Neodiprion lecontei: one gene and its partners. The protein of the gene in region 2 interacts with the protein of the main gene of each other region in a pairwise test. Links are inferred from orthologs where the notes say so. Each region holds a gene or a part of one and is shown on either strand. Other genes may lie near its edges.

The links.
Region 1: the proteins of serine/threonine-protein phosphatase PP1-beta catalytic subunit (region 2) and zinc finger FYVE domain-containing protein 9 interact in a two-hybrid assay, tested with the Drosophila melanogaster proteins (2 studies listed by BioGRID). The link is inferred for Neodiprion lecontei from reciprocal best matches to the Drosophila melanogaster genes flw and Sara.
Region 3: the proteins of serine/threonine-protein phosphatase PP1-beta catalytic subunit (region 2) and nuclear inhibitor of protein phosphatase 1 interact in a two-hybrid assay, tested with the Drosophila melanogaster proteins (2 studies listed by BioGRID). The link is inferred for Neodiprion lecontei from reciprocal best matches to the Drosophila melanogaster genes flw and NiPp1.

What each region holds. Positions count from the first base shown.
Region 1 is NC_060266.1:4,607,315-4,612,924, forward strand, and holds the start of zinc finger FYVE domain-containing protein 9, read right to left. Parts: upstream 3,377-5,610; 5' UTR 3,279-3,376; coding exon 3,260-3,278; exon of another isoform or gene 3,099-3,259; intron 2,859-3,098; coding exon 2,739-2,858; intron 2,120-2,738; coding exon 1-2,119.
Region 2 is NC_060265.1:28,570,244-28,578,091, forward strand, and holds serine/threonine-protein phosphatase PP1-beta catalytic subunit, read right to left. Parts: upstream 5,644-7,848; 5' UTR 5,423-5,643; coding exon 5,371-5,422; intron 4,905-5,370; coding exon 4,833-4,904; intron 3,231-4,832; coding exon 2,743-3,230; intron 2,627-2,742; coding exon 2,528-2,626; intron 2,314-2,527; coding exon 2,074-2,313; intron 1,981-2,073; coding exon 1,876-1,980; 3' UTR 1,831-1,875; exon of another isoform or gene 1,756-1,830; 3' UTR 900-1,755; downstream 1-899. Other genes in the region: protein farnesyltransferase/geranylgeranyltransferase type-1 subunit alpha, read left to right, coding at 6,266-6,404, 6,647-7,001, 7,105-7,305, 7,478-7,664, 7,786-7,848. UniProt on the Drosophila melanogaster protein: Required for cell adhesion in non-muscle tissues and in maintenance of muscle attachment. Vital for larval development.
Region 3 is NC_060261.1:17,296,293-17,303,435, reverse strand, and holds nuclear inhibitor of protein phosphatase 1, read right to left. Parts: upstream 4,709-7,143; 5' UTR 4,494-4,708; coding exon 4,465-4,493; intron 4,328-4,464; exon of another isoform or gene 4,315-4,327; coding exon 4,254-4,314; intron 3,967-4,253; coding exon 3,813-3,966; intron 3,137-3,812; coding exon 2,916-3,136; intron 2,643-2,915; coding exon 2,439-2,642; intron 1,941-2,438; coding exon 1,566-1,940; 3' UTR 577-1,565; downstream 1-576. Other genes in the region: serine/threonine-protein kinase grp, read left to right, coding at 1-117, 285-515; N(4)-(Beta-N-acetylglucosaminyl)-L-asparaginase, read left to right, coding at 6,441-6,576, 7,123-7,143.

The DNA of each region.
Region 1 (5,610 bases), on a different chromosome or scaffold from region 2:
TTGGGGACAGAGATAATCTGGTTGGTTTCGGTCTCCGCATCTTCGTCCTTACCGGTCAATTTTGAATTTTGATTCAAGTTTGTATCAACGATTTGGTATTCTTGCTCAGATTTGGGCAAGCTCTTATCTTTTTCCATTCCGGATTCTTCCGCCTGTTGGCTGATTTCTGACCCAGACGCAATTTCATGAGTTTCCAGGCTCTCGTCTGGACTTTCTACCGCGACTACGCTAACCTCCTCGACTTCGACAGGTTTCAGATCATCGTCTTCAGTTCTAATGTTTTCAGCACTCGGTTCCGAATTATCCGAGGTTTTCCTCATTTTCTCATTGGTCCTTTTGCTTTTTCTTCCCTTTCCCTTCTCTTCCTTCGCTTCGGAAATAACCTTTGTATGTTCGGAAAATTTTTCGGAACCTTTCCTCACTAAAAAATCTGCAGTCCCTTCGCTGCTCGGACCGCTCTTACTGTAGTCGATGACAGGAAATTTTTTGGCTTTTTCCAACAATTCTACACTCGATACTTCCGGCAATTCGCCAATAGTAACGCTTTCAAATATTGGCGCTTCGTTCGCGTCCTCATCGTCACGCATAGTTTGAAATTTGTTTTTCGCTAGATTGTCGGAATCTCGATATGAGCTCGGTACCGAATTTTCGAATGACGTCGTCGCTTCCTGGGCTCTTTCTTCAGCCTCCAAATCTGCCAAATACTTGTTCAATTCTTCCTCCGATAAATCGTCAATATGACTGAAGCCGACCGGTTTGGTTTCCGTCTCCGGTGTGCCAAGTTGTACAGTTTGAAATACCAGCTTGGCAAGATTAATCCCTTTGGCCTCGGTGTCCGAATTTTTCTCACTCACGTGTAATTGGTCGGTTATTTTTTTAGCTGCTATTTCTAACTCCGTCGTTGTTTCTGGAAAATTTTCTCTGTTACCAATATATATGCACTCGTACACGTTTTCTTTGCCGTCAGTCTTTCCCACTTTCTTTGGCTCGTCAAAGTCCACGTTTTCGTACGTGTGCTTTATCTCTTCTTGAGCTTTGAGCTCGGGTGGCTTCGGTTTCGCTTTATTAACCGTCGTGTACAGTTCCTGCGGTTTCGGAATGTCCGTGCCGATGTAAACGTTTTCGTAAACGTGCTCAGGCCTGTCTATAATACTTTTTGACTCTTTCGGCCTGTCGACAACAGTCGGCAAAGTTGTGTTTGTATACAAAGGTTCTTTGTCAATTTCACGTAAATTTGGTAACAAACTGATATTCTCCTCAAGTTTAACTTCGTTGGTTTCTCTAGCGTCGGACAACGCGGTTTCTAATTTAACGGGTAATAAAATATTTTGATACTCTGGCGGTACGACAGTTGAGATTTTTCTAACACTGCTAACAGCGTCTCTTCTGCATTCTATGTTTGATTCTACTCTGCTCTCTGAAGTATAGCTCGACGAGTTACCGCAGTTATCTTTAACAACATTAAGATCTTTTGTCGTATCGCTAATTTGAAGTGAATCTCCATCGCGCACCTTGTGACCGGTATCTTCTCGAATAACTATATTATCTACATTATCAACTTTAGCACTAGATGCATTTATGTATTCGTTTAAACTGCTAAACACATTGCTCACACTTGGTTTGGCATTAGGCTGGTTTAATTTCTTGTCGTAACTGTTTTTCAATTTGGTACTATTGTTACTATTGTTACTATTACTACTAATACCACTAGCATCATTTTGTTTTTTCTGTAGAGGCTTTTGCGCTATGTCGTTGTGTATCGTCAACGTTTGGGCGTCAGAATCATAGCTTTCGACAGACTGTTTGTGCTGTATTTTATTTGCTGACGAGGATTCCTGGGAATAAAAATTATTCCCCACATCTGTGCTGTCGTATCTTGCAAATCCTTTTTGAATATTTAAGTCACGAGTGTTTTTATCATACTCCCCGTACCTTTTGACATCCGAACTCCTATGAACATCAGCCGTTTCATCTAGGCTCTCACTTGGTGTTACGTTTGGCACAATCACAGTCTCAAAGGCTGCTTGATTGTGATTTCTTTGAGGTAAACATTGGGATTGACGATCAACGTTAACGTTATTTCCAGGCAATGGAATAGACGCAATTTGTTCAGCACGATCTGAAAATAAAAATTCAATTCTGGATGTGAACAATGATTGGAGATAGAAAAAACCTTCAAGCCAAAAAGGAGAACTCGAATTGAAAATTCATGCAATGTGTTCTTAATTTCCTCCAAAAATTGTAATGCAGTCTAAAAACAGATTCTGTTCAAGATAAGCATGGATGATAAAGTATACAGTGATCATTATGTTCAAACAAAATTTTTTTTTATCATGTTTAAAGATCGAAGTTTATAATGCAGTATTTGCACTATGAATTAAGACATGTCCAGAAGACAAGATACCATATAAACCACATTGGAAAGAAAAGTGCAGCTTGTTTATCGAAGGATGTTGATTATGAGTAGCGTAAAAAAGTTTATCCTCATGTTTATATACCATGTTATACATGATAAATAAAGGAAAATAAAAAATAAACACACACTGAAAAATATATACAAAACATTTCCAGTGACTGTTGCATAAAGTATAATTTCCTGAGATTATTGGAATTCTATTATTTCCCTCATGTACAGACACGCCGACTCAAATGTTACATTCCGGGAAGAATGGTTTCTATTTTCCCCTAAGAATGCGTTATAAAATCCTTTATAAAGGGAAGCAAATTGGATTGCTAACCTTCGTTGAATTCGAGCTCGTCAAGTACTTTGTCGATATCCACAGCAAACTTTTCCATGGTGTTCTCCTCGGTTGACGTTACGTTTTGTGCGACTGATAATAGTGGATGAAAAATCGTAGCTGAAAATTGTCCGACAACACGGAGCGAGGGATTAGATAAGCATGGGGTGTAAACCAACTCTTGGCATACCTATGTAACTAGATTTTCACAAATACTATGAGCATGCATTTGCATGTCACAAATGTGCTGATAAATTGCACGTAGCGATAAAGTTGAAAGTGTAGTTATGCAGGAGCGATTAACGATGCTGTTGTTATTCTAAACAAAGAAAAACCTGGTGACGTTTGAACACCACCTACCTTCGTTTATCTACCAGCTACTGATTTTTCTTGGAAACTTAATTTCTCGCTTTAAACTGGAGGTCGCGAAAAAGACCGAACGCGATTTACCGTAATTAATATGCGCCGAAATTAAAAATAGTGAAAATTGAGCGCCAAGCGTGCGACGGACAGCGACTCACACTTCTCGGGTGTTCCCATCGCGTTATACAGCGTCAAAATTCAGCAATATCAAATTATTTCCCGAAAATGACACATTTCAACGCGACGTCAGAGTGCCATCTTGAATGGGCGAGTCCTACTAACCGTTCCGCTGAACATCAGCCACTCGCTTTGACAAATGAAATTCTACGCGCAAAGTACGCCTACCTTGTGTTTACTAAAGTGAGTCTTCTTCGTGTGTATACAAAGGTCGGTAGTGTGTAATGCGTATGCAGAATCACGTGTCGAAGCGATGCGCACAGCTCTATCATTACCTGTTACCGACCGAATCATAGATCGTTCGGATTTTTCAAGGTTCGTTGTCTGAAATGATTTTCGTACCTCCACTTGAAATATAATGTCAATTCCCCGTAATTTTAGGGGGAATTGAACGAGCCGTGTCATTCGAAGCAGCTAAATAGTCTCACAAAGCTTCTCTTCCGATAGCTTGTAATCAAACTAACGCCCGTTTCCTCCGACGCAGTTTAAACGGCGTTCAATTTTGACAGCATAGTTTGGAGATAGGCTGAACTTAGTTTAAACTTCGATTAACGTTGGAGGAATGAGTCATTAATCTGTCATTAATAAGTCAGGTGAATCAATGACGTCACGTTCAATTGATTTGGTCGGTAAGAGTAGGACAATAATGTATCGCCTAGAATGATACAGTCGTACCGTGAACTTCGAATCAGCAAAAAACCATGATTAATAGTAATAAGAAAAGGCAGTAAATCATTCTCTACTGTTCACCTAGATGTTTATGACCTAGTTTATAATTATTAATTCATTTATTTTTATCTGCTATCGGTGGGGTTGATGTTTTCAGAACGGCAAATCACCGAGCCATAGATATGAGGGAAAACAAACGCCGATCAAATTGGCATGCTTGATCAGGTCACATAACTCCCGATTTCCGTGTCTCCTCATTTTGGCTGTGTTTTTTCTGACAGTTAATTAAGCCCGTGTCGGTTAACGACTCACACTCTACCGTACTTTTAGCTCCACAAAAGCAGCGAATAAGACAGATCATCTTTACCATAGCAAGGTGAGCCAGCAGTGGTGAAAACAACAAAAATAGTAAACATTAACAAATTTTATGTGTTTTCAATTTCTGGTAAAACATTATTCATCGCCTGTTAGTGAATCTCCATCGCATGACTGGACCTGGGTTTGGAATTACGCTAAACGCGTTTTGAGCGTTACAGCATTCGTGAGACAGTACATATTATTGATTACGAATGAATAAAAACGTGAATACGATTTTTCTGTGTATATTTATATTTTTGTTACAATGATTTTGAAGTAACTAGGATTACAAAATATGAATACGTTTCGTTTCATTACGATTTACAAATTTGCAAAACAGTGTTTTACCTCGTACGGTAATTACTGTTATATATTTGAAAAAAAATTGCCCATGTCACAAAGTGAAAAAATCAAACACAATATGTATTCTTGTATTTAATGACTTTCAATACCGTCAAACATTACTATTGAAAATGATAAATATGAAGAATTATTGTGATGCCATCTAAATAAGAAATCTAAAGATATTTGGCAACGCTGGCCTGAAGTTAGCGCTGGCCTGAAGTTAGGGCTGGAGCAGCGACGCTTGCGCGGGAAAACGTGAAGACCTCGCTACGGTAAGTAAATATGCTCTGTATTATCATCACGAGATCACGAGACATGCATTTACCTTCCAGACCCCTCGAAAATTAGTTCTATAATGTTATTTCGTTTCAGAGGACGTTACTAGAGGGGGAACATAAAAAGCGCTGGCTTGTGTGAGCCGCGAGCGCACGGTTTGCGTCACTTGCGTGTTGCAAGCCTCTCGGTTGTGAAGAGATTCGTATTTCGGCCGGTTAAATTTCGAGTATGTAGAAGTATAGTACTTATTATAGTTTAAATCCCGCGGCCCTTATCGCCTGACCGAAACTGAAACACGCCAGCTCTGATATAATAAACAGCGCGTCGAACGCGCAACGTTTGCAAATCCTCGGGTGAAAAAGAGCGGCGTCGACGAGCGAGGACGGAAGGCATGTCCGGCATGTTCGGCAGTGAATCGACTACAGCTCGTCGGTGTGATTGCACGGTATCATCGCGGAAACTAGCCGCGAGTTAAACGGGTTAAACGTGTATCACCGACGTTAAACGTCATCATTGAACGTCGACGACGCGACAGCAATAACAGCGGTGCATAAGAGAGTGAGGATGATGGGAGTGGAACGGATACGAAGATAAGGATGACGATCGACGGGGGATATTATCCGAGATTTAATTTTAACGGCCAGAGTGAAACTTCGCTGATCGCCGATTAGGGACGATCAGAATC
Region 2 (7,848 bases):
TGTTTTTTTTCCGTTCTTTTTCTTGTATTTGTTTCTCATTTGTGGTCTTAAATGCATATATGTATATACATATATATATATATACACACATGTATATTTATGATATATATTTATGTTATATTAATAATAATAATAATGTATGTGTGTAACTGAAAACTATTCATATTCAAAAGAATTTTTTTCTTTTTCCCTATTACAGTATCGTAGTACATATTACCCGACTATTTTTATGTAAGCATTGTGTCCTCTATGTTATACGCGGTTCAATTCGACAGCTATTACACTGAATATTCTTTTTTCTGCCTCAGTCCGTAAATTGTAGGATACAATGCTACGTTCGAAAATAAATAAGCGATTAAGAAAAGATGATTTCCGACGGTAATAATAATTAAAATAATAATAACAATAATAATAATAATGATAACATTATTAATAACAATGATGACGATGATAATGATGATAATAATAACAATAATTTACACGAAGGTATAGTCGTATGTATGGCGTTCCTTGTGTATGCTGAGTGTTTATCAATAATTAAGTTAGGACGAGGCAAAAAAAAAAAAATATATATATATATAAACCTGCCTGTCGAAATTGAACGAACAAATAGTAATAATAAATAATTAGGAGTAAAAATGCTGCTAAACGCAAAAATGAGTGAAATAGAAAAGGATCGATCATCATGTAAGAGAAAATGAATAACTGTTACTGAGAATGGTAGCAAGTATATGAAGTACATGTGCTATTTTTTAGTGCTTATGTTGACGGAACTCGCTGATTTTGTTCACCTTATAAACAAATTGGGCAGTCGATAAAGTGACTTTTTCTAACTAGAGGAACAAAAAAAAAAAAAATGTATATATTGATCGATATTTTATACAAAGAAGCATCCTGCGATAATAGTGTAATTGAGATGTAATAAGGAAGATGTCGTTTCCCGTTTTAAGTATTCAAGTTTTCTGTTTATTTTTTTTTTTTCATTTTATTTCGTTTCGTTTTGAATTATGAGTTTTTAGTTAGTGTACATACTGTAGTGACACGTTCCACAGCTGAAACATATAGAAAAATAAAATCAAGTCCAATATTCTACGGATTTCGGTCAACTTTTACTCACATTGTTGGTATGATTTAGGATTTAAGCAGGTTAAATGTCTCTGGAATCTTCAGGACTCAGTATGGCTGATTAATTTTGGATTTAAAAGAGGTAATGTTATTTTATAAACTAAAGCAAAGCGAGATCAATGCACGGAAAAGTTAACTGAAAACGTCCGACGTCGTCGTTCAATGTAAGTTAAAGCTCCTCCCATCTATTTATATACTTTTCTTCAAATCGTTCACCGCAGTGATTCATGAGTCGTGATTATCGTCTATAACTGCCACTGATTCAATTATTAACAATAATTTAATAAATATAATCTGATTTGTTTAATTATAATTGTAGAGACTAGGTTACTTCCTTCAATATGTGTCACTGAACCCTTGCCTCCTTTCCGGCGTTATATATTTTCAGTAAAACGCGTTATTCATTGAAAGGCGATGAAAATTCTATCAGCTGAAAAATAGCTAAAGATCAAAAGAGAACTTATGGCAGGTCTCCCAGTGGAGTTTAACTTTTCTTCGTTTTCTTTTAAATTTTTTTGCAAATCGAGTCTAAGACGTTTAGGAGGCCTGTTGCAGTGTTCTATATTCACAGGGATCGATTTTATCATGTGACGTAAGTATTCACAGTATTTGCATCGTAAATCATTCAGTCTGAATAGATAAAAAATTAGATATTTATTAATATACTTGTTTGTTTTTTTCTCTCTCTCTCTATAATCATCTTACCTAGAACGAAAGTGTTTGCTGCTACGCGGGATCAGCGAAAGGTGGTCATTTCTTTTTTGTTGGATTCCTCTGCGGCGTAGATGGCCTGCCACCTTGCGCAGTCATTCCACTGTACTGGTATTTTGCTTTTTTTTCAGAAGGTTTCAGGATCTGTTTTTATTTTAAATCGAACAATGTAGAAAAGGGGCATCAAAGTAATCGGTCATCTTCGCTGGTGAATAAGAAACGAAAAGTGAAGATTACCTGAAAACTGCACATCAGAGTTTCGTCGACGCTCATCATTCCGCCGGCGTTGTCGAATTCCCCGCAGTAATTCGGAGCTGAGAAAAGTGTGACGAGCTGCCTTTTAGCAAAAAATTCGTAACCATCTTCGACGACCTGGTGAGCTCTGCATATGAGATCCATATCGTGTCGACTTAGGAATTTGGAAACTACGTCAGGTCCGAATGTGAAAGATACGCCTCTGTCGTTCTCGCCCCATCCCTGCGGGAGAGAAAAACAGCCTCACATTACATCGCATTGTAAAATCTTGCTGGACGCAGCTCAGAATCAACATTGTAGGCGTGTTTAGACAGTCGTGTGCTGTACACCGTTGCTTCGAACCATCTGATAAGTTATTACACAACGATATAAATAGAGACAGGTAACACGCTGTATCCTGCTACACCCGGCGTATTCTAATACATTTTATACACACCTGAACATCTTTGTCGGGGTCAGACCAAAGGAGATCGCATAAAAGTCCTGTATCTGGAACATCGGTTGGACGCATGATTCTTCTGATTTGCTCCATTCCCTGTAAAACCAATGTTACTCGTTACGTTTAATCATTTGATGTAATTTTTGTTTTTGCATCTAACTTTTCCTGAAAAGTGTTCAAACTTTTCTCAAAAATACGAATTAAATAATCACCTGGAGATCAGGACTGAGTCCGCCGTGGCAGCAGAATATCTTTTCATCGATAATAGCGGCGATGGGTAAGCAGTTGAAGCAATCGGTAAAGGTTTTCCACAGTTTTATATTATATCTGCGTTTACATTCGTCGTAAAATCCGTATATCCTGTTTATGCTGGCGCATTCGTGGTTTCCTCTTAGCAAGAAGAAGTTTTCTGGGTATTTGATCTTGTAGGCGAGTAACAGGCATATCGTTTCCAGAGACTGTTTGCCTCTGTCGACGTAGTCACCTAGAAAGAGATAGTTTGCCTCTGGAGGAAATCCGCCGTACTCAAATAGCCGCAGCAGGTCTGTGTACTGGCCGTGAATATCGCCGCATATTTTAAGCGGTGCTTCGAGCTCCAGTAGTATCGGCTGCTGAAGGAATATCTCCCGCGATTTCAGACAGAGGCCTCTCACTTCGGCCTCTGTCATTACCACCGATTTCCCAGGTCGACATCCTCGCACTGTGTCCAAAATTTTCGAGTTTATAGTCAGCGGTATTCGCTAGTAGAGTCATAACATCGAGGCAGATTTATTTTTTCAACATCAGCTTTGCAAGTTTAACAATGAATGAATTATGATTTCATAGAACGTTGATGCTCTCTACTATGATATAAATTGTACGGCTTTAATAGTTTGTTGTGCCGAAAACTAACTTTTTACAAAATGCTACGCTAAAAGGGTTAATTTAATCAAATCTTTTTTTGGGATCTTTATTTTCTACGATGTATAACTACGTTACTATCTATCTATACAGTTTGGTAATTTACAACTATACAGTACCGTTGCGTTTATACTGGAACGACGATAGAGAAAGGAAATCAAAAAGTAATTATGCAAAAGTGTGGTGACATTCTGCCAAGAGATGTTGCTAAAAGTATTTCAAGATCAGGGGGGAGTGCTGGAATACTACCCACAAGTTAAGTGACCAAATATTCTGTTACCTACGTAATAAAAAGAAAAGAAAATTCTCTGTGCTTTATTATACAAGCTAGAAATGACTGTCGGATATTGTGTTACAGTTAGTTACTTTTCGAAGAATAAGCAACTAGTTGATCGCCGTCGTTAAAGAATATCTTCAAAACAAAATGAAGAAACAAAATTTAACGAAGCAAAGTTTAGATGGACTGTATTTACAGTGACGTAATCAAAATAAAGCAGATGTTCTCCAGCTTGGTAGTGTTAATTTGTTATTTATAGACGACTTTGAAGGCCTATGCAGTGTAGTTGGATCACTTTTGCATGACGATGACTGTAACTATTACGAAATAAAATGTATAGATAGGTCGTCGTATCACCAATGACACTACATCCTGTACTTATTGGATAGAATAATGCGAACAGTGGATAAAAGTCTAATCTTTTTGTTTTCCTGTCATGTTGCAATGAAAATTTACCGCACTTAGCAAGTTCTCTGTTATGCAGAGCTCGAGTTCTTACCTATTGTTTTTTTTTTTCTTCTTTTTTAAATGTTAGAAGGACTACATCTGATGGTAATTATCAATAGAAAGAAAACGTAACTAGCAATTTATGTATATAGACAAGACATGCGCCTAGCAACAAAGATAAAAATGATAATTAACAGAGCGACGGCAAGATATTGAAAGAAATATACTGCTGAAGTTGACTAAAATGAATGTCGCAAGACAAGAACGTACAAACATAGTTCTAGATTTAGTTCCCCTTGGTGATGACGAATTTAATTTGAAGCCCAAGTCTAATCCGAGCAAAGCCACGTGGTGTTTGGAGTATAAAATCTATATTTAGCAAATCTTGCAAGGTAAACAATATTGCTGGAAGTGGTATGGAACTTTGTTCTCAAGACGAGCGTTTCACTGTGTAAGGTTTGTGTGAGCTCGACCGTGTGTATCGAAATACGAGATTGATACATGAAGAAAAGGGAGGATTGGTGCTGATGTTGCATTCAATAGTGTGAGAACGCAAACTGATAGATATATCGATAACAATTAATGTGGATGCATTTGGTAAATGGTAACGGTGAAATAAAAAAGAAAAAATTAACAATGAGAAAAAATTTTTTTTAATATATTAATAAATTGGCATACCGACAAAGTCTGAGGTAAAAATGTCTTTAAGTTTAGCCTTTTTCTGAACCTGTTCTTTCTGCGTTTGATATACTTTACCGCAAAAGATCATCCCCACAAATACGGTTAGCATGACAGAGAAAAAAAACAGAAAATTTTACGAAAACAAATAAAAAATCAATATACGATGTGTCCATACCGACAAACGGTGTCCGTTAAGACAACAATTAGTCGTTTATTTCCAATTTTTCTCTGTTATAGGAAACAGCTGACAAGTGTGGAGTGAGCCAACGACGTTTCTTTCATAATAATGTACGAATAGACTGAGAAATAGTAGCGGTAATGTGGGAAGAAAGAGAAGAGATAAGAGAGTATAGGAAAGAAGTGATATTTTTCATTGCTAGTATAGAAAACACACTAGACAGCATATAATTGGTTTACGATTATAACGTGAAATATCATGGGAAATAAAGGCTCGGCGTATGTTAGTAAAGAGATGCGATAGACGGTATTACTTTGGCCATGACATCCGTATCGTTATATTATATTTTAGACGTACCTTCAAGCAATCTCTGTATCAGATTGTCGATATCCAAGTCCGCATCCGCCATTTTTTCTGCACTACTCTAGGTCCCAACTCCTAGGAAGTCGTTTGTCGGAACAAGTAGATCTATAGTTCCTTGTTTCCACTAGGCGCTTCGCCCTGGAGGCTTGACCCTCGACCACACACTACATTCACAAGCACTCACCAGATGCCGCTAACTTCTTTTTCTTGACCTTGCGATATACGCGCGTTCCGAAGTCTTCACTCGGCCTAATCCCGACGCAACGTGTGTTCCGAAACCGAGGTTACTGACTGCCGATACTGGGTCCTGATTCTGACATTTTTCACTCGTGAAAACCACGGTCTGTATGTAAAACCATGGTGAAAACTATTATAAGCGCCATCTACACATGTATACACATTTTCAATGGCGCGTATGCTATCCAGTACTCCACTACGGTATATTTAAATATATCACATCACGCAGTTCCGTTTGTCAGATTCTACCTAACATTCTCTAATTTTGCCTTATAATTCGTCTCTATAATTCTTCTGTATGATTATTTCATGGTCAATAGACCGATACGATAGTGTTCTGTAAGTCACGCGTAATTTCGGATCGCACCGCTTCAATTTTGTTTATTATGCCTCGATGGCTGGGAACGCATGACCACGGACATATACCTATATGTCGATGCGCATGACTTTGATTTTGTTTATTAAACCTAAGTTGGTAGCACTGAAATTCGCGACCGCGGCTTTGCGGTTGTGAGATATGCGGTGAGATTATACAGTAGGACCCGAACGTGGAATACGGGTAGAAATCGGGTGGGATTAAGAAAAGAGGACGATAGCTAAAGTCGAGCGGGTTTAGTTAAAATTCTTATGACCACGTTTGCCGGGTGAAAATATGTCTGACTCTTCTGAAGAAGAAGAAATATCGAGCACCTGGGTTTTCTACAGGGACAGAAATGAATGGAAGGACGTTACGCCTGTTCCACAGGATGATGGACCTCACCCAATTGTCGCGATTGCCTATTCCGAAACATGTAAGATATTTAAATATTCAATTCGTTCAATTGTTTCGTCAATTATTTCTTGGTAGTTTATGCGTCAGATTCGAATCACGAAACTTTCAGAATATAACCGATCAGGTGGGTCCACAATGTGGATGTAACCTATTATAATTTAGCTTATAAACAGTTGAGATCAACGCAAAATCGACGATGTGAATCATGCAAATTTCGATTTGAATTGATAAAAACTATCAAGTTTCAAACCGTTTTCACAGTCAAAGATGCATACGATTACTTCAGAGCCATTCTGAAGTCTGGCGAAAAGTCTGAGCGAGCTCTGAACTTAACGGGGGACTGCATAACGCTGAATTCAGCAAATTATACGGTATGGCAGTACAGGAGAGAGATATTGAAAGCACTGGACAAGAACCTCTGGAACGAACTCAAGTATATAGAAACAATGATTAGAAGAACTCCAAAAAACTACCAAGTATGGCATCACCGGAGGGTAATCGTGGAATGGCTCCAAGATCCAAGCTTGGACTTAGCTCTGACTGAAAATGTACTGAAAAAGGATGCGAAGAATTATCATGCGTGGCAGCATCGCCAATGGATTATAAAAACTTTCAAGCAAGTATTTTTTACGAATTTATTTTTCTTAGCGTAAGTAGTATTCTGTTCAAGCACAAAAAATTGCTTACTAGAGTAATAAACGTGCATATTCAATTGCCAGTTTGTTTGACGGAGAGTTGGAATATGTTGAGCAACTGCTGGACGCCGACGTGAGAAATAATTCTGCTTGGAATCAACGCTACTTTGTCTTGAATAATACAACAAAGTTTGAGCCGCATGTTATTGAACGAGAAGTTGATTATACTTTGAAGAAAATCGAGCTAGTCAAGGGGAATGAAAGTGCATGGAATTATCTTAGAGGGTTCGTATCTGTAGCCAAAAAAATATAGTCACATTGATTTACATATTTCTGGTAATGAGGAAAGAAAAAAATTCACTTGTAATGTGACAGTTCATGCAAGTATTGATTGCGAACTACCAAGCGCCAAGTAAAATTTTGACATTGCTTATTTTCTCGCCTTTTTTCTCATTAGCATCTTGCAGCACGATGGTGAAGGCGGACTCGGGCGAAATAAAAAAGTCCTCGAGAGTTGCGAAGCATTGTATGCAGGAGGCTCGCGGAGCATACATCTGCTAGCCTGCATGATAGACATTTGCCAGGAGAGACACGGCGCTGACATAGAACCAGAATCACCATTCACTATTGAACGTGCGCTTGCAGTAAGCAACAGCATTCTTCCTTCGCCTGACAAATATCTTTCACGAATAATCTAAATGAATAAAACTCGATCTGAGTATTCTAAATGCTTACTTGCACTTGACTTTTTCCCGTATCTTTTAGCTGTGCAAAGAACTGGCGGAGGAACACGACAAAATAAGAAGGAGATACTGGGAGTATATAAGT
Region 3 (7,143 bases), on a different chromosome or scaffold from region 2:
TTAGCACGCCGTATGACTAGATTTTTCGTAAAAATGGACGGTGACAACTTTGCAAAGAAGCTGTTATCTGTTTTGGAAAATGAGGGATACACGTGTCGAGTCAGCGAAGTTGGTGTTGTAAGTTATTGCACTACTCTAAATAAACCTTTTGGTAACTTGAGTCAAGTTTGAGATAAAAGTTAAAAGTTACACTGATCATAGATTACCTACAAATTCTAACAAATCGCATCACAAGAAATTTTTTTCATCAAAATAATTGAAATTCTGCTAATATCTTCTTTCAGATCACAGTTGCAACTGTTGATAGACGGAAAATGCCTCTTGTTTTCAAAGCAAATATCGTTGATATGGATGGGAAAATACTCGTAGACTTTAGATTGTCCAAAGGATGCGGTATCGAGTTCAAACGAAGATTTGTTAAGATCAAAACTGATCTTGGAGACTTTGTTTCCAAAAGTACGGTTTCGTGGCCCATTGCTATTGCGAATCACGACATTGTGTCACAATCATGCTAGATTGACAAAGTAATTTTATATTAACAATATTCAATAATATACATTCTATTTTTCTACTGAATTTAAAATTTGATCTTTAATATTATACTCTTGATTATTTGGAGCTAGAATTCAACTTGCGTTTGTAACATTGAAAATCTACACAACACCTGTATGGAATAGCAATGGATTAACGTTGATTTCTGACGAGGTTTATTGAATAAAAGACGAGACAATCGTTCCTCTTACTGTCTTTATACACTTAACAATAGATATGAAAAATTTGTATTGAACATTTTGATGAATATACTGATGAACAATGATGACTGACGCTGATTGCAAATTTACCTTTCACTTGTTACTTCGATATATTATTATGAATTCAATACTTTGCTCCTTGACACTGAATTTCTGAATAAACGCAAATTACATCACATGTCTATTATATCACAAAATGTATACTTCTCATTAATTTTTAAAATATATTTACCTGAAATAGGAAAATTCGTATTATTTCAACAATTGTTTACCTCCGAAAGGTCCAAAGGAGATTTCAGTACGAAATATTACGCTATATTTGATTACTCTATTAAATCCGTTTAAAGACGAGTGGAACTTAAAATTGTCGACAGATCAATTATTTATCTCTTATTACTTTATTTACATATTTCACTTCACCGACGACGATACAATCATGGTTTATATTTGAATAGGAAATTTTTGTTGAAAACTTGGACGATACCACGCAAATATATTAAACCTCATCAGGTAAATAGTTCACGAATTTAGTCTGTATTCTTAAGATAGCTATTCCAGATTGGTGACAGCAGAATTCATTTGGACAATTAGTTTCAGTACTTTAAAGGTATCCAGATTTATAAAGTTCGCAATTCTACATTAAGAATTTTAAAATCGGATTTATTATTGCGAATTACTTAGTCGTGTGCATGTTCTAGAAAAATTTAATTCCAAATTAGTTGCTTTATCCTTTTGAGAAGGTCTTTCGGATACAGGAGAATTGATCGTTCATAACCGCTGATCTGAGATAGCTGGATTCCGTTAAGTCTATAATTATACCAAAAGAGTAGGCATCGGTTTTTTCCCGGGCCAAGCTTCCTTTGCGTACTTTTTTTTCTTAGGCTCTAATGAATGTGGCTCCGAAGATCCTGATATATCTGGAATGTGGGGCACCTCTGTTTGCATTTGGTGCGGCGCCATTTCTACCTCGGGAGCCGGGTTTGGTAAAGCTATACCAAGGCGAGAAGTCAGTGATGTCAGTGCTGTAGAAAACGGGTTACTAGACATCGACGAATGTGCGTTAGAGAACTGTTCTGGAGGTAAATCATGGTAGAGTTGTGGCATAACAGAACTTGGCTGAAGATGTTTCATCATATTGTGATGATTTTCCTCCGATAACGATATAAGGCCACCCTCCATGCGCATTCGCTAAAAGAAGAAAATATTAACAAATACTAATTAATCTCGACGACAATGAACTGAAAAGGCTGTTTGATTGGTCAATCGACAAAAAGAATAATTGAAAGGGTGAACGATTCCATTAATCGAAGTCTGATTAAATGCGCAGCCCTAATTACTACTATCAAATATTTTATTCTATTAGTTCCATTTATAGTAGGTAAGCATTACAAAATCGAGAACACAACTCGCCAAGAAAAAGTCTGAATTTTTTTAGGAACTTTTTTGTTGAAGCGCAAGGTATTCAGTGCAAGCACTACATTCCTAGTTAGAAAGAGATGGATATTAGCCGCAACTACCTCCATCTCCCTCGCACTTGCACAACGCAATTTCAGCACCATATGCACAGTCCATACTCTGTGTTTACGCTTATATTAACGTGAAGAGAGATTTGGAAGTCTCTCTTCTCCTTTTATCTTTGATTGATCGTTGGGAACTTAGGAAGTGATACCAAGGAGATTGACTTACTTTACTGGGAACAACAGTCGTTTGTACAAGATTCCGAAATCTACCAACAGATGGATCGACATCTTCAGGATTAATAACTTCCTCGTCGTCGTTGAATGTGATGCCCTTCTTTTTTCTCTTTCTCGTCGCTTTATGAACGTCATCATCCGTTATTCCCAACATCGAGATGCGTCTGTTATGGGCTGTATTAAATTCCGTCAAATTCTGTAGGAGTAAATTTTGAATTAGAAGCATGCTTAGTTATGACATTCAAAAGTTCAACTGCATTTCACGAACCATATCTTTATATACCGTATCGGTCAAGATTCTGAAATAATTCTATAAATACGTAGAACGATAATTGATTATGATATAACCAAAGTTCAAAATGCGTTAGTTATACAGCAAAAAAATTTTTCAATAACCTTAAAAAAACGTAGAAGTAATACAAACTTCATGTTCACTATTCACTAAAGATTATTATTTGGCATATCTTACATCAAGCTCAGTTTCAGTCTCCGGAAGCCCAAGTAAGCCACCGGCGTCATTATCTTCGGAAGATTTTTCTAGTTCTTCAATTATCGGTCTTGCCCCAGATTGCGGTCTCTCTCGAATAATGTAGTATCTTGTGGATGCGCCAAAATGAAAAGTACTGTCGATTGGTAACTGAGTCGGTTTGTTGGGATCTAGCCGCATATTTCCAATGTAAGTCCCATGTGCTGCAATTGAAAATTGTTAAGGCAAATTAATGAAGTAAAAGCTGAAGGTGGTTGGTTGACCAAAAATATATACTTTTCATTCATTTTATTACGAGATAGTCAGTCGTAATTTCTTTAGATATGCAAACAGAAAATGCTACAATTATAAACGAAAGCTTGGATATCGATGCTTTGTTTCAAATTGCTGCAAATTAATTAAAAGTGTAGTAGGTTCGTTTTCACTCTAGAATGGCTCATTTCACTAGGACATTTTTCTGGGATTTCCACAAACTCATAGAAATACTTTTTTTTAAATCATGTTGGCATCGCTAAACATTTAGCTTTACAAAATTGCGCAGATATTAATTGTGATCAAAAAATTACAATATTGAATTGACTACTAAAAAACAATAATCTTCTGAAAGGCCATCATAGAGCGAATTTGAACCTGTTAGATTTTTAACTGTTTCGAAGTTATTTTAAATGAAGCATTGATATTGAAGATTTTATCTGAAATTCCAGGATTTTCAATTTTCGCTTTTTTAAAGAAACCTTTGTAGTTTACGAATATAATAGGTTAATACATTCACCATGCACGACTATCTCATGATAAAATTTAAAACAACTATTGATTTGGACAATGGAACTCCTGAAATTATCAATACATGACATAATTAACACCATATGTGATACTCACTGCTACCAAGATCTACTAGAAACGCTCTGTTCAAATGCTTGTGGTAAACTAATGCTGCATGAACTCGGGAACACGAGGCGTGATCAATGCAGAAGTCGTTCATTTGCTGGTTGCGGCCGAATAAATAGCACTTCTTTTCATCCACCATCAATTTCTGGGAAGAGTTTAATTCATTTATAGAGTGATATACTTCTCAGTGGCTCTAAGAGTCTCAAATGGCGTTATTCGTCAGTGATATAGTGAATATGGTGGCTAAAACCACAAGAGTAGAGAAATCCTGCTGCGAAAAGAACTAATATTTGTATAATAATCAAAGAAAGCTTTTATAAACAAAAAAGTTCTTGAGTTTACCGGTTTCTTTAAAAACGTGAGAATCGACACTTCTTGAGAAGTAAATTACTGAAACACTAAATGCTTCTAGTAGGCGAATAAGGATATTACCTGGATTAATTTATCATCCTTTAATACATCCAAATGCAAACCAACCGGAGGTTTGCCAGCCCTGAAAACATAACCTGTTTACAATGTTTGTCATTCTGGTGTTTTGGGTCGGAAGATGCTTGTTATGAAAAATATTTTAGCTCAAATCATTTGTAATTCGGATACTATTGTATGAATTCCTATAATGTAATAATTTCTCGTAATAACATACCAGCTAGGTACTTCGTAATGATTCGCCATTATCTGTCATTTAGGTTGCGTACTTTTAATAAAACATCTATAACCTCAGTCTTCCTACGAATTTAGTAACCATTCTTAATTTCAAAGGAGATAAAGCGAATTTCTGACAAAAATATTTCGGGAAACAAACAAGGGCTGAGTCGATTACAGATTTTTAAGTCGACATTAAAAATAGCTCGGCAAGAACACGAATTAATAGAAAACAACTAATCAGTAGCTAGCTTCAAAGGGCGAAATACTCGGTAGGTAAGGGTAGAGTCCTTACAAGCTGCAGCGACCACTGAACTCTAGTACTATATAGAGTTGGCCTGCGACCTTCGAATGTGTTAAAAAATTTTATGCCAAAAAATTTCTCCCCAATTGCTTTTAATTGCTCTCTATTCTTTATTATTTGCTCCCATGCGGTTTTCGAGAAAATCCTAAAAAACGTTGCAGGTACCGTGAGTGGGTAACATTTCCAGTAAAGTGGCGCCATATTCAAACAAATATTGGTGCCCAGACGTTCTTTATGCCACCGAAACAGGATAAACCTTATACTGTACATGCTCTAAGGGATGAGCTTTGAGCTGCTCCTTAATTACTCCTATATATTATCTTAATTACTCATTGTTACTGTATTATTTTGATAAATTGCTTCTGCATTGTTTGCGAATGAATCAGAAACAAATGAAAAGAGGGTTTTCTCAAGGCGAAGTATGGCCGAATTCACTTTGATATATCTCTTAGACGAATTGAGGTGCGAATAATCTAATAATTTCCCCGCAAACCTCGCAATTTGCTCCTTCATAGTTTTCGTTAAAACTGGAAAAACAATGATGCATCTGACTTGTAGGTTATGTGGACGAGCGGTGAATTCGAAATTGTAGCGAAACAAAAAGATGCCGATGCGCTCCAGTAGGACTGGATAAAATTAGTAAAAATTACCAAATATATTACTCAAAAAAGTATCTTTAACTACCGATTCTATAGTATAAAATGCAGAAAATTCTGCTTCAATGCAAAAATAATTCAATCGGTAAGAGTAGTCAGTCAATGATGAAATCTGTCCACACCAAAATAGAATTATACACGGTATATGTATCGTATCAAGTTATTTAATATTCTATAAATACAATTCACACGGAATAAATATTGTATCGCATTATGTAATATTCTAATGAAACAAGTGTGATGATAATAAAAGTTAATGTGCTGTTTAGGTGATTATGTACACATTAATTTTTCTATGCTGCATATTTCTCGGAGGGTTCACCGGAGATTGAGGCGGGCGTTTATGGAAAATAACAGTTTTCAGTCAACGACTTTAGTCAACGAGCCAGAATTATCTATATAAATAGAGATAACAACAAATAGAGTGGGTAAGTGAATGATACAGCCAGTTAGTGATAAAAACAAAGACAAAAAATCAAGGTAGTACCCCTACCTACCTTTTTAGAAAATTGAATAAAGTTACAAATGAAAAATTGCAACATTAACGTAAGCAGTTTTGAATAGTCTATCATTCTGATTCTCTTCTGCGCATGTGTAAATGTATATGCAACAAGGATAGATAGAGGTATACTTCAATTTGCTTTCCCTTTTTATTCGCACAACCTTTGTACTATGCTAACCCCTGCATCTTGCCCACTCCATTTGTTATTATCTCTATGGTTATTCAACTTGATTGAGCCACAGTTATCATTGGACAAACAGCATGTATTTTAAAACAGAGTACACAACTACATTCGTAATGAAGATCTGTAAATCGTGTCAAATAAGCCAATCAGAACTGACAATTGAATCGCAATCGTATGTTTATCATGTTTAATCCCTGTTCATCCTTATCCATACGGCATGTTTGTCGTGCTGAAACAACAGTAACGGCAGAGGTGATGTGAATTCCTTGAATGTCACACACGATTCGAGCAATTCCTTTTTGAAATACGATCGCATCGAGACATTTTCATAATGAGAATTTTGAATTTGTTTATTACAACACTAATAGTAGCTACGGGTTGCTTACCGGCGAATTCGATTCAAACATTTACTAAAACCACTCCACTCGTTGTAACAACATGGGATTACTGGAACGCCACAGACAAAGGTACAACCAACGATGAAGAAATTTCTTACTTGAATTTTACGTTACATTAAGACTTACTTATACTTGAATTTTGTGCTTTTTTATTCATTATTCGCTTCTAATTGTTTCAGAATAAAACTTTTCTCCAAATAGTGTAACAGCACTGTGAAATTCGACTTGAAATTTTACGTTTTATGTTTATCTTGACAAATGTAAATATGTTTGTGTTGTTGGTGAATATTAATAATTGGCATTCTAATCATTTATCTTCACATTATTGTAATTAATCGGTTTTAAGTTAGTTTCTACCCTTTTTTTGAAAAATCCCATATGACTCAAAAGTTTAATAAACATCTCTAACAAAGATTTGCTTTGTTGATTTTTGGGCTGCAACGATTATACTGCAATGATAAAATACTTTCAAGTTATATTTATCCTATAATGCAGTATCAATATAATGCAATGCATCTTAACAAACAATAAACAGGACTTTCCCAGTGTCTTATCTTAAACTCTTATTAGGGGAAATATATCCATGAAATAACCATAATCTTACTTTATTTTCAGCATGGAATATTCTGTACACAA